Linked DNA regions of Cricetulus griseus. Each later gene encodes a partner of the first gene's protein in a complex. Links are inferred from orthologs where the notes say so. Each region holds a gene or a part of one and is shown on either strand. Other genes may lie near its edges.

Region 1 (4,085 bases):
ACTGTCTCTCTCAGAAAACAGGAACTCAGCCTCACCGTCCTGAAGACGGCAACCTCGTCTCCTGCCAGTGCTTCCCCCGCCTTTCACTTCTTGCTCCCCTTTGACGTTGTGTGACTGCTCCTTCACTTCACCAATCCTACTCATTGCCACCTCAACCCTCTGTGTAAAACACAGCCTGAATTTTCCCTATCACAGAAGCTTTCAAAAATGTATTTTTTATTTATGTATAGATGTGTGCCTGCATGAGTTTACGTGAGTCACGTGCAACCAGGAGCCCATGGAGGTCAAAGACATCAGATGCCCTGGAACTGAAGTTATAGACAGTTGTGAGTCACCGGTAGGTGCTGGGAATCAAATCCAGATCCTCTGCAAGAGCAGTCAGCACTCTTAACTCTGTACCATCTCTCCAAACTCCCATGTGTCCCAAAAGTTTTGTCCATTCCCCCTTCTGTACAGTACAGTGCCCTAACAGAGCACTGGGAAGAGCTCAGTGGTTTCCTGAGACTCAACAGAAAAAATCAGATAGCTCTTTGGCTCTATGAGGGCTGTTTTTCTATTTTGTTTGTTTGTTTGTTTAAGTATGTATCGGTGTTTTGTCTACATACATGCCTGTTTGTTATGTGTGTGCATTGCCCGTGGAGTCCAGAAGAGGGCGTCAGATCCCCAGGACCAGAGTTATAGACAGTTGTGAGCTGCCATGTGAGGATGCTGGGAGTTGAACCTGGTCCTGTGGAAGAGCCATGAGTGTTCTCTCCAGTCCTATGAGATGTGGTTCACGAATCCATCACATGTAGGGAGATTATACACACAAATCCCCTTCCCAAGTCACTGACTTTATCATGTTATGTGAGGAAAAAATAAAAAAGCTTTGCTCCCATTTACAATTCACTTAGGCATATCATTATCCCATATACATCTGCACTCTTTAAAAATAATTTTGCTGGATGATGGTGGTACACGCCTTTAATCCCAGCACTAAGGAAGCTGAGACAGGCAGTTCTCTTGAGTTTGAGGCTAGCCTCATCTACAAAGTAAGTTCCAGGATAACCAGGACTACACAGAGAAACCCTATTTTGAAAAAAACAAAACAAAACAAAATAACGACAACAAAAAATTTAAGCTGAGAACTGGGGGGGATATAGCTCAGCAGCAGACAGCTTGCCTGGAATGCATGAGGCTCTGAGTCCAATCCCAACAACACAAACACACCAAACTGGACATGGGTCTTGGTGACAAACACCTGTAATCCCGGCACTTGCAACGCTGTGGCAGGAGAAACTGAGAGTAACCTTTTTTTTAACATAAGTCAGAAATTATCAAGAAATGTTCTTTAGTTCTTAATACACAGACTCTTAGGCCTCATACAAGCAGGCAACTCAATGCGTAACAGTTGTTCCTGCTGCTGTGAGAAGCAATTGAGGAGATGAGAAAGGCTCACCTGGCTCACAATTACAGGTCACAGTCCATCACTGCAGGGAACTCAGGGCAGCACAAACCTGCAGCAGCTGTCATAGCCACAACTGAGAGCAGAGAGAATAAAACGCATGCAAGTTTGCTCTCTGCTCTGCTAACACAAATAAATAAAAGACTGATACTGGGGTTCAACCTGAAGATCAGGGAAGCAAAGCAGCCGGCCACTAGCTCTCACTTCAAGCTCAGGCTGAAAGGGCTGATCCATGCAAGAGCTCTTCACCAAGCCTCAAACTGCTGCCTCTCCTCAGTGTGGCTAGAGAATGAATGACTCCTATTGAATACTAAAGACCCTGCTTCTATCTTTTATACCCCTCTAGTGCTGGGACTAAAGGTGTGTGATCTGTTTCATTTTTAGAATGATTTAATCTCATGTATCCCTGGGTGGCCTTGAACTCAGAGAGATCCATCTACCTCTTAATCCTGAGTCCTAGGATTAAAGGTGTGTACCAGCACCTCCTAGCTTCTGACTTCTGAGATCAAAGGTGTGTGCCTGGCTTCTATGGCTGTGGCTGACCCTGTTTTCTAAATCCTCAGGCAAGCTTTAATAAATCATAAATAATGTGGCACCACATGGCTCCCTTCCTCCATCCTTACATGCTTCAGGACCCAGCCTAGGGAATGGTGCCACCCACAGTGGTAGTAGACACAGCCACCTCAATATAATAAAGAAAATTCCCAGACACATGCCCAAAAGCTAATCCCAACACAGAATTTCAGTAATCACAAGCAAGCTACTTTTATGTATTAAATCATTTTTTATAAACATTTCCCGAACTAGCTGAGTCTCAGAGTTGTGGATATTTTACAATTCAATAATATTAAGACTATAAATGATATTAAGACTATCTCATGGGTTTTAGGGATAATCAGTGCTGCTGTATACTCTAAAATGTTGACCCACTGGTGAATTTTACAGCAAAGATATATCACTCCCATTAAACCTTATTTCACATATAAAATATATGAAGCATCAAATGTCAAGTGTTCTATCCTAAGTGTCCAGAATCTCATGCACAATTCTAGTGCAGTGTGAAGGCAGGCACCTGTGAGTACAATGAACCTCAGGAACACTAGGCCTGCCTTGTGGAGTGAGGTAGACTTTCTCAAAGAAATAAAGAAAGGAGATGTTAAAAAACTAAGTTACTGCTGGCATCATACTACAAACAAAAGACAGGGTATATATACAGAGTCCAACAGTAACAAGATAGGGTCAAGTTTAATCAATTGTTTTCAACATAGACTAAATCTACAAAGAAGCCTAAAGCACCCTTAAGTATTCAGAGGAAATATCGCAAAAGTACAGACAGACTGACTTAAATTAAAGTCAGAGCTAACTGTATAACATGTTTTGATAAAGAAAATATAAGAGCAAACATTGAGAATTACCTCCTTTGGTAGTGCCATTCTGAGCCTGGATGCCATGATGCAATGAAGTGTGGATGGCAGACAGAAGGTCTGCTGCTTGGACCATTAGTTTCTGAGCCTCTGCAACAGCACTGGTCTAGCAAACAAATCACCGAAAACACACACGTTAACTGAAAGACAGAGAAGAGGAGGTTCTACAACAGCACTGAGATCCAGTGCACACTGCGCTAACACACAGAAGAGGAGATCCTCCAACAGCACTGAGATCCAGTGCACACTGCGCTAACACACAGAAGAGGAGATCCTACAACAGCACTGAGATCCAGCGCACACTGCGCTAACATGGATCCTCACAAAGCAGTCACTTAATGCAGGATGCCCAAATCCTGACAGGATACAAAGCATTTCCCTCAAATGTATATCTTATTTGATACATTAAAAAATGAAATGGTAAATATTTCTGATTTACAGTATAAGCTTACTTTTTAAAATAAAAGATCAGAGATATAGTCAATTGTGACAAGGCAAAAAATTCCAATACTATTCAATCATTCACAAGTATGGGGTGGGAGGAATCCAGGAAATAGAATTACCTGATACAGTATTTATCTATCTATAGGTACAACTGTAAAGCAACAATCACTTTTCACAGAAGCATTGGTATGACTGTGGTGCAACTACACCAAAGGTAGAGAACTGTGAGAACAGGGGGGCACTGATCAAAACTGACCCAATTACGGTGATTCTCTTACCTCCTTCTTAGTAAAGGCTATAAGCACTGTCAGCAGCACGCGGGTGAACTTCACTCTGCTGAATGCCGCCAGGCATTGCTGGTGCTGGAAACACAGAAGTCTGGTGAGAAGCAGAGCAACTACATTTTAACATTTGGAACTCCTATGTCTTTGTGCCAGTTACTCACTAGAGCAAACAGGCCTCTACTTGGCTTTTTACATGCTTAGGAAACAAGCCACCAAACACTAGTTAAAAAACAAAGTCTACTCCTCTGCAACAAAAGAAACTGTGCTGCACTCTTTCTTCAATTCAAAGTCAGGACTAGACCATTATCTCAAAAACAAGCAGTTAGCAGCAACTTTTGAGAGTATGGAAATTTTTGATTTTGCTAAGTTTTGAAATACATCTATAATTGATCTTTTTTTTTTTTTTTCAGTTCCTGCTTCCCAGGAATTGTGAAGAGTTTTGAAATCAGATAATGAAAAAAGTTGCATTACCACTCTATAGCTCAAACT
Region 2 (4,770 bases), on another chromosome or scaffold:
TTTAAAGACACATCACCATGGGTTTCATTCCCATTAAAGAAAAAAAAAAAAGTAGCTCTAGATCATCTCTAGGGTTGTCCTTTCAAACACAATCCAAAAGACATTTATAAAAATTAGTTCTAATGGGAAGTTCAATTTGAAAAGCATATAAAAGACCTAGTTGTAGACTGCCTCTGTTGTGTAACTAGTTTTATTGTTCATATCTCCAAACTCATATTCCATACAAGAAACCTTAAAGGCCAGCTACTTGTACAACTTCTAGATATTCATAACTTAATGTTAAACTTTAGTTAGTAAAGGCTGAAGTACAAATTAACTGGTCAATTAAGAGGGGTGTACATAAAAGACTTAAGTTTACCATAGTGTAAAATGCCAAAAAAAACTGAGGTCTAGAGAAAACATGACTCAACCAACTACCACTGAACCACATCCCTAGTTCCATTCAGTTTAAAATGTGACTCCATTATACACTTTTGTGGATTAATTTACAATTAATACACAATTTTGAGGAGTTGTATTTAATGGCATTTATAATAGCAAATACTGTCCCCCACATTCACTGACACTAACATGTCTTAGAACTTGTTTTTGATTTGTGAGATGGGGTCTCTCTACACAGCCGGGGCTGTCCTGGAATGTGCTATGTAGATCAGGCTGGCCTTGAACTCAGAGATCCTCCTGCCTCTGCCTCCCAAAAGTTCTGGGATTTAAGGCATGTGCCACCACGTCCAGCAGAACTATTTTAATACAATGCTAAGAATTCTAAAGAAAAAAACAAACAACAACAAAAATACGTTTTATGGAATACGAAATACTTTAGAAACAGTATCTAAAGTTCAAACAAATGTTCTAAAATAAAGTTTAAGCATAATGAACACAAAAGCTAGCAAAACTACCAAAATGTACAATATCCAGTGGTATTTCTGGATTACCACCACACTGTGGAAGCAACCACGAGACTTGACATTTCAAAACATACCGCAAGGAATACTGAGTGAAACTAAGTCAGTGTTAAAACAGTAATAATAGTGGGAGCTTTACTCTCTTCAAAGTGTGCTGCCTTTAGTAAACTTCAGAGAAAACAATGTGCTGCGCTCATGGCAAACAGCTTACAACTGAAGTCTAACATCATCTCAGTCAAAGGTTTCATACCCGCAGAAAGTGGGTCAATGTTACTTGTGGGTAGATTACTAGTGCTGAGAATGTAAACTTAAAATAGTTATTCATCTTATCCAATAGACAAATCTGTTCTGCTTACACATAGGTCTATCAGTTATACGTCATGCAAACCAATGGTACCAGTTTTTAGACTGTTTTTGAGTAGTTTCACAATTAAGTTTCCTGCATCCCACAAAAGGGCCTTCTGTTCAAGTTTCCAGGGGCCTTTCAGCCAGCGGAAGTGTTAGTGACACCTTCTTCAATAGCACACCTGAAAGCCAGCTGACTACAAGTATTGACGCACTGAAGGAAACAATGTCAATCAATGAGCATGGCTCTGAGATTTCATTCTCCAACGTGACCACAGCAAGTTTACCGACAACCATGTTCACCAAAACGTGTTCACCGCATGTATTCTTCTCTGATTATGGCTGTTAACAGAGTTATTACTAAGGCCTGTATGTGAACAGAACCATCACTACAAAATGCTCCGCGGAAGATGGAGGGTAATTAATGAAGGTTAAAAATGATTAGAAGCTAATGTAAATAGGATGTAAGACCCCCCCACCCCCACCCCAGGTGAAACACACCTAGTGCAGGCTTGCTGCTGTTACGAGAGTAGCAAGTTAACCCAGATCATGAGTTCTTACCTTCCACACAGTTCCATTTAATAACTAGGAACGTGCGCGCACTTGCGCGCGCGCGCACTTCAGCGCTTCACATCTGTAAGGTACTGTGAAAATGAAGGATACAACCACTGCCACACACGGGGCCCTCACACTCCCTGCCCTGAGTGGCCTGGATCTCTGCTGGGTTCACCCTGTTTTCATGCCATCCACTTACCAAGAAACACAGCTGTGGCCAGTTGTGGATAAAATATCTATACGTATAAATGGAGTAGGGTTCTGACAGATCTTTGGTGATCAGTCTCATGATATCAGGCATTTGGAGCTCGGATTCATAGCGGACGTATCGTATCGTCCGATCCTCCCCGGGCTCGGCCTCCCGGCCCAGGGAGCTCCTTAGACTGCAGCCGGCGGTCAGAGACGAAGACAGCAGCCGCACCTGCTCGTCCTCCTCCTCATCCGGCTCGTTGCCCTCCGCCAGTCCGTTGCGAGCCGCCGCGGGGTCGCTGGCTGCCGCCGCCGCGCCGCCCGCCGCCGCCGTCTCTGGCCGGTCGGGGAGCGCAGTTCTTGCATTGTTGGGGACCGAGTAGGGAGGTCTCTCCTCTGGGTGTCCCCCGGCTCCTTTTGTGGCAGTCACTTTGGGGGCCCCGTCGGGGACGGCCGCCTCCGCTGCACTCAGAACCTTACTCTTGAGGGTCGCCGCGGCCCGGAGGTGTCGCAGTTCTGGGCCGATCAATCCGTTGAGCTGCTGCTGCTGCTGCTGCTGCTGCTGCTGCTGCTGCTGCTGCTGCTGCTGCTGCTGCTGCTCCTGAGGCAGCTGCGGGCAGCGAAGGCAAGAACGCGCCTTGGTCGTGCTCCCCGCCTCGCCGCCCGCGGGGCTCCCGCAGCCGCCTTCGTGCTCCTCGTCGTCCTCCTCGTCCTCGCTGCAGCAGGCGAGTGCAGCCCCCGCCGGGAACGGGCAGCGGGGCTCGGCCGCCGCCGGGGCCGCAGGCGCTGGTGGTGGGAGGAGGCTGCTAGGCCCAGGCGGTACCTCCGCCATCCTAGAAGCGACACAGCCGAGAGAGGAGGCCATGAGAGGCGGCCGACCGGCGCCAGGCAGCGCCGACTGGCGGGCCGGGGGCGGCCGAGGCGGGGGGAACAAAGGCAGAAACCGTCCCTCACCGAGTGTCCCCAACGCCGCGCCGCCCCCACGCCGCCGTGCCGGCCACCGTCCCCGGCCGCCGAGCCCCGCCGCCGCCGCCGGCCGTGTCACCGCCCCCCACCCGCCCCTCCTCGCGGCTCACCCCGCGCCGCTCCCGCCGCCGTTGCCGCCGCTCCTCTCCCTCAGCCACCGCCGCAGCCGCCTTTGCCGCTGCCGCTCCGCCGCCGCTACCGCCGCCGCCGCCGCCGCCGCCGCCGCCGAGACTCCCACCCGCCGCCGCCGCCGCCGCCGCCGCCGCCGCCGCCGTAAAGCGCCTCGCCTGTTACCCCGGGTAAAGTTTCCTGGGCCAGGCTTTACGACACTTCCCTGCCTGCCGGCTGCCGGGCCAGAAAAAGGGGCGTGGAGGGAGGTGACCTGTGCAGGGGCGGGGCCCGCGGTGTCTCCGGGGGGCTTCCGGGAGGCAGCGCGCCGGGGGGTGTGGCTCCAGCCTGGGGTTCCTGGCCCCGGAAGTCGCCAGGGCAGCCTCCAGGGTGGGCCGGGCTGGGCCCGGCGGGGCGCTCCGAGTGCTGCGGCGCGGCGCGGCGGCGGCGGCGGGCGGCGGCGGCGCGGCGGCGGCGGCGGCGGCGGCGCGGCGAAGGCGGCGGCTTGTGGACCAGCCTGTCGCCAGCCCTTCTCCAGGGCCTTTTCGCAGCTGCACAATTGACAACTTTTGCTCCGACCTGGCGCGTGGGGCAGCGAGCAGCGGCTACAAAGGTAGCAAACCCCGGGCCTGGACGGCGAAAAAGAGGGACTTGAAAGCATTGAGCTGTGGAGACAGCGTCTTGCAATAGGAAGGAACCTCATTATCCTGTTGGGACAAGAGAACGGCTAGTCGTCTTCCAAAGTTCCTCTTGCCCTATTACTCCGTCCCGAAAATTGGAGGCGTAAACGTGGCTAACAGGTGCTGGACAAGTACAGGCACACCTGGAGTGAAAGTGACAGAGATGGTGGTGGCTAAGAAGCACATTACTAATCTGTGATTGTAATTGTGTTAGGTTGGGAAGCACCGGGAAAGAGTTCACGGGATCCTCCCATGTGACTCGCATGCTAAGCAGGTGTGGAAGACCAGAGCCTCAGCATGCATTTGAGCATGTGGCTCACCTCCGTCTGCTCTAGTCCACAGCTGGTAGTTTGCTGCATAGCTGAGCTGAAAGGCACAACGGTCGTGTAAATAACTCACTTCCATATGAATCAAGTTATTTGTTTTTTGTTTTTAAGTTGTTTGTAGGGCCTGGAGAGATGAGTTAGTGGCTAGGAACACTTGCTGCTAGGTTTAGATTCCTAGCACCTATGTGACAGGTCACAAACAGTCTGTAATTCCAGGTCCAAGGGATGCTACCTCTTCTGGCCTCCAAGGACATCAGGAATGCATATGGTGCACAGACATGCGTACATACAGGCATAACACCCATACATGTTTAAAAAACAAAATGTATTAAAATAGTTTTTTATTTATTTGAACTGGTTTATAGAGTTAGTCAAATGTGCCCAAGATTAATGTTTTCAGAGATAGGTTTCTATGGCAGGTGTTGCAATTTTGTGTCATCTAAAAAAAAGAGCTGCACTAGTCGGCACATGTCTAGAATCCTAGTTCTCAGGAGGCAAAAGGCTCAGGAATTCAAAGTAAATCTGGACTGCATAGCAAAGCTGTATCTAAAAATAAGTAGAACATAAAAATAATAATTTTCAGTCGGGTCGCGGTGGCTCACACCTTTAATCCCAGCACTCTGGAGGCAGAGACAGATCCCTGTGAGTTTGAGACCAGCCTGATTACTGAGAGAGTTCCAGGACAGGCTCCAAAGCTAC

What was found.
Region 2: the proteins of Naa35 (region 1) and Naa30 are in contact, whole or in part, in a cryo-EM structure (PDB 7MX2), measured with the Homo sapiens proteins. The link is inferred for Cricetulus griseus from reciprocal best matches to the Homo sapiens genes NAA35 and NAA30. Residues at the interface, in NP_001308810.1 of Homo sapiens: Leu45, Gly46, Leu48, Leu56, Ala59, Met60, Ala62, Glu64, Lys69, Glu121, Phe313, Pro314, Arg315, Ala444, Leu510, Glu511, Leu512, Glu517, Pro605, Lys606, Phe607, Glu608, Leu609, Asp610, Val614, Arg615, His618, Arg619; in NP_001011713.2 of Homo sapiens: Glu221, Pro238, Ser240, Tyr242, Thr243, Arg245, Tyr246, His249, Asn250, Lys304, Ile324, Glu334, Asn335, Leu336, Gly337, Val339, Arg340, Asp341, Lys342, Arg343, Phe345, Arg346, Tyr347, Tyr348, Leu349, Leu359, Trp360, Leu361, Arg362.

What each region holds. Positions count from the first base shown.
Region 1 is NC_048596.1:278,703,782-278,707,866, reverse strand, and holds part of Naa35 (N-alpha-acetyltransferase 35, NatC auxiliary subunit), read right to left. Parts: intron 3,675-4,085; coding exon 3,591-3,674; intron 2,975-3,590; coding exon 2,860-2,974; intron 1-2,859. UniProt on the Homo sapiens protein: Auxillary component of the N-terminal acetyltransferase C (NatC) complex which catalyzes acetylation of N-terminal methionine residues. N-terminal acetylation protects proteins from ubiquitination and degradation by the N-end rule pathway.
Region 2 is NW_023276807.1:205,214,489-205,219,258, reverse strand, and holds the start of Naa30 (N-alpha-acetyltransferase 30), read right to left. Parts: upstream 2,996-4,770; 5' UTR 2,857-2,995; coding exon 2,002-2,856; intron 1-2,001. UniProt on the Homo sapiens protein: Catalytic subunit of the N-terminal acetyltransferase C (NatC) complex. Catalyzes acetylation of the N-terminal methionine residues of peptides beginning with Met-Leu-Ala and Met-Leu-Gly.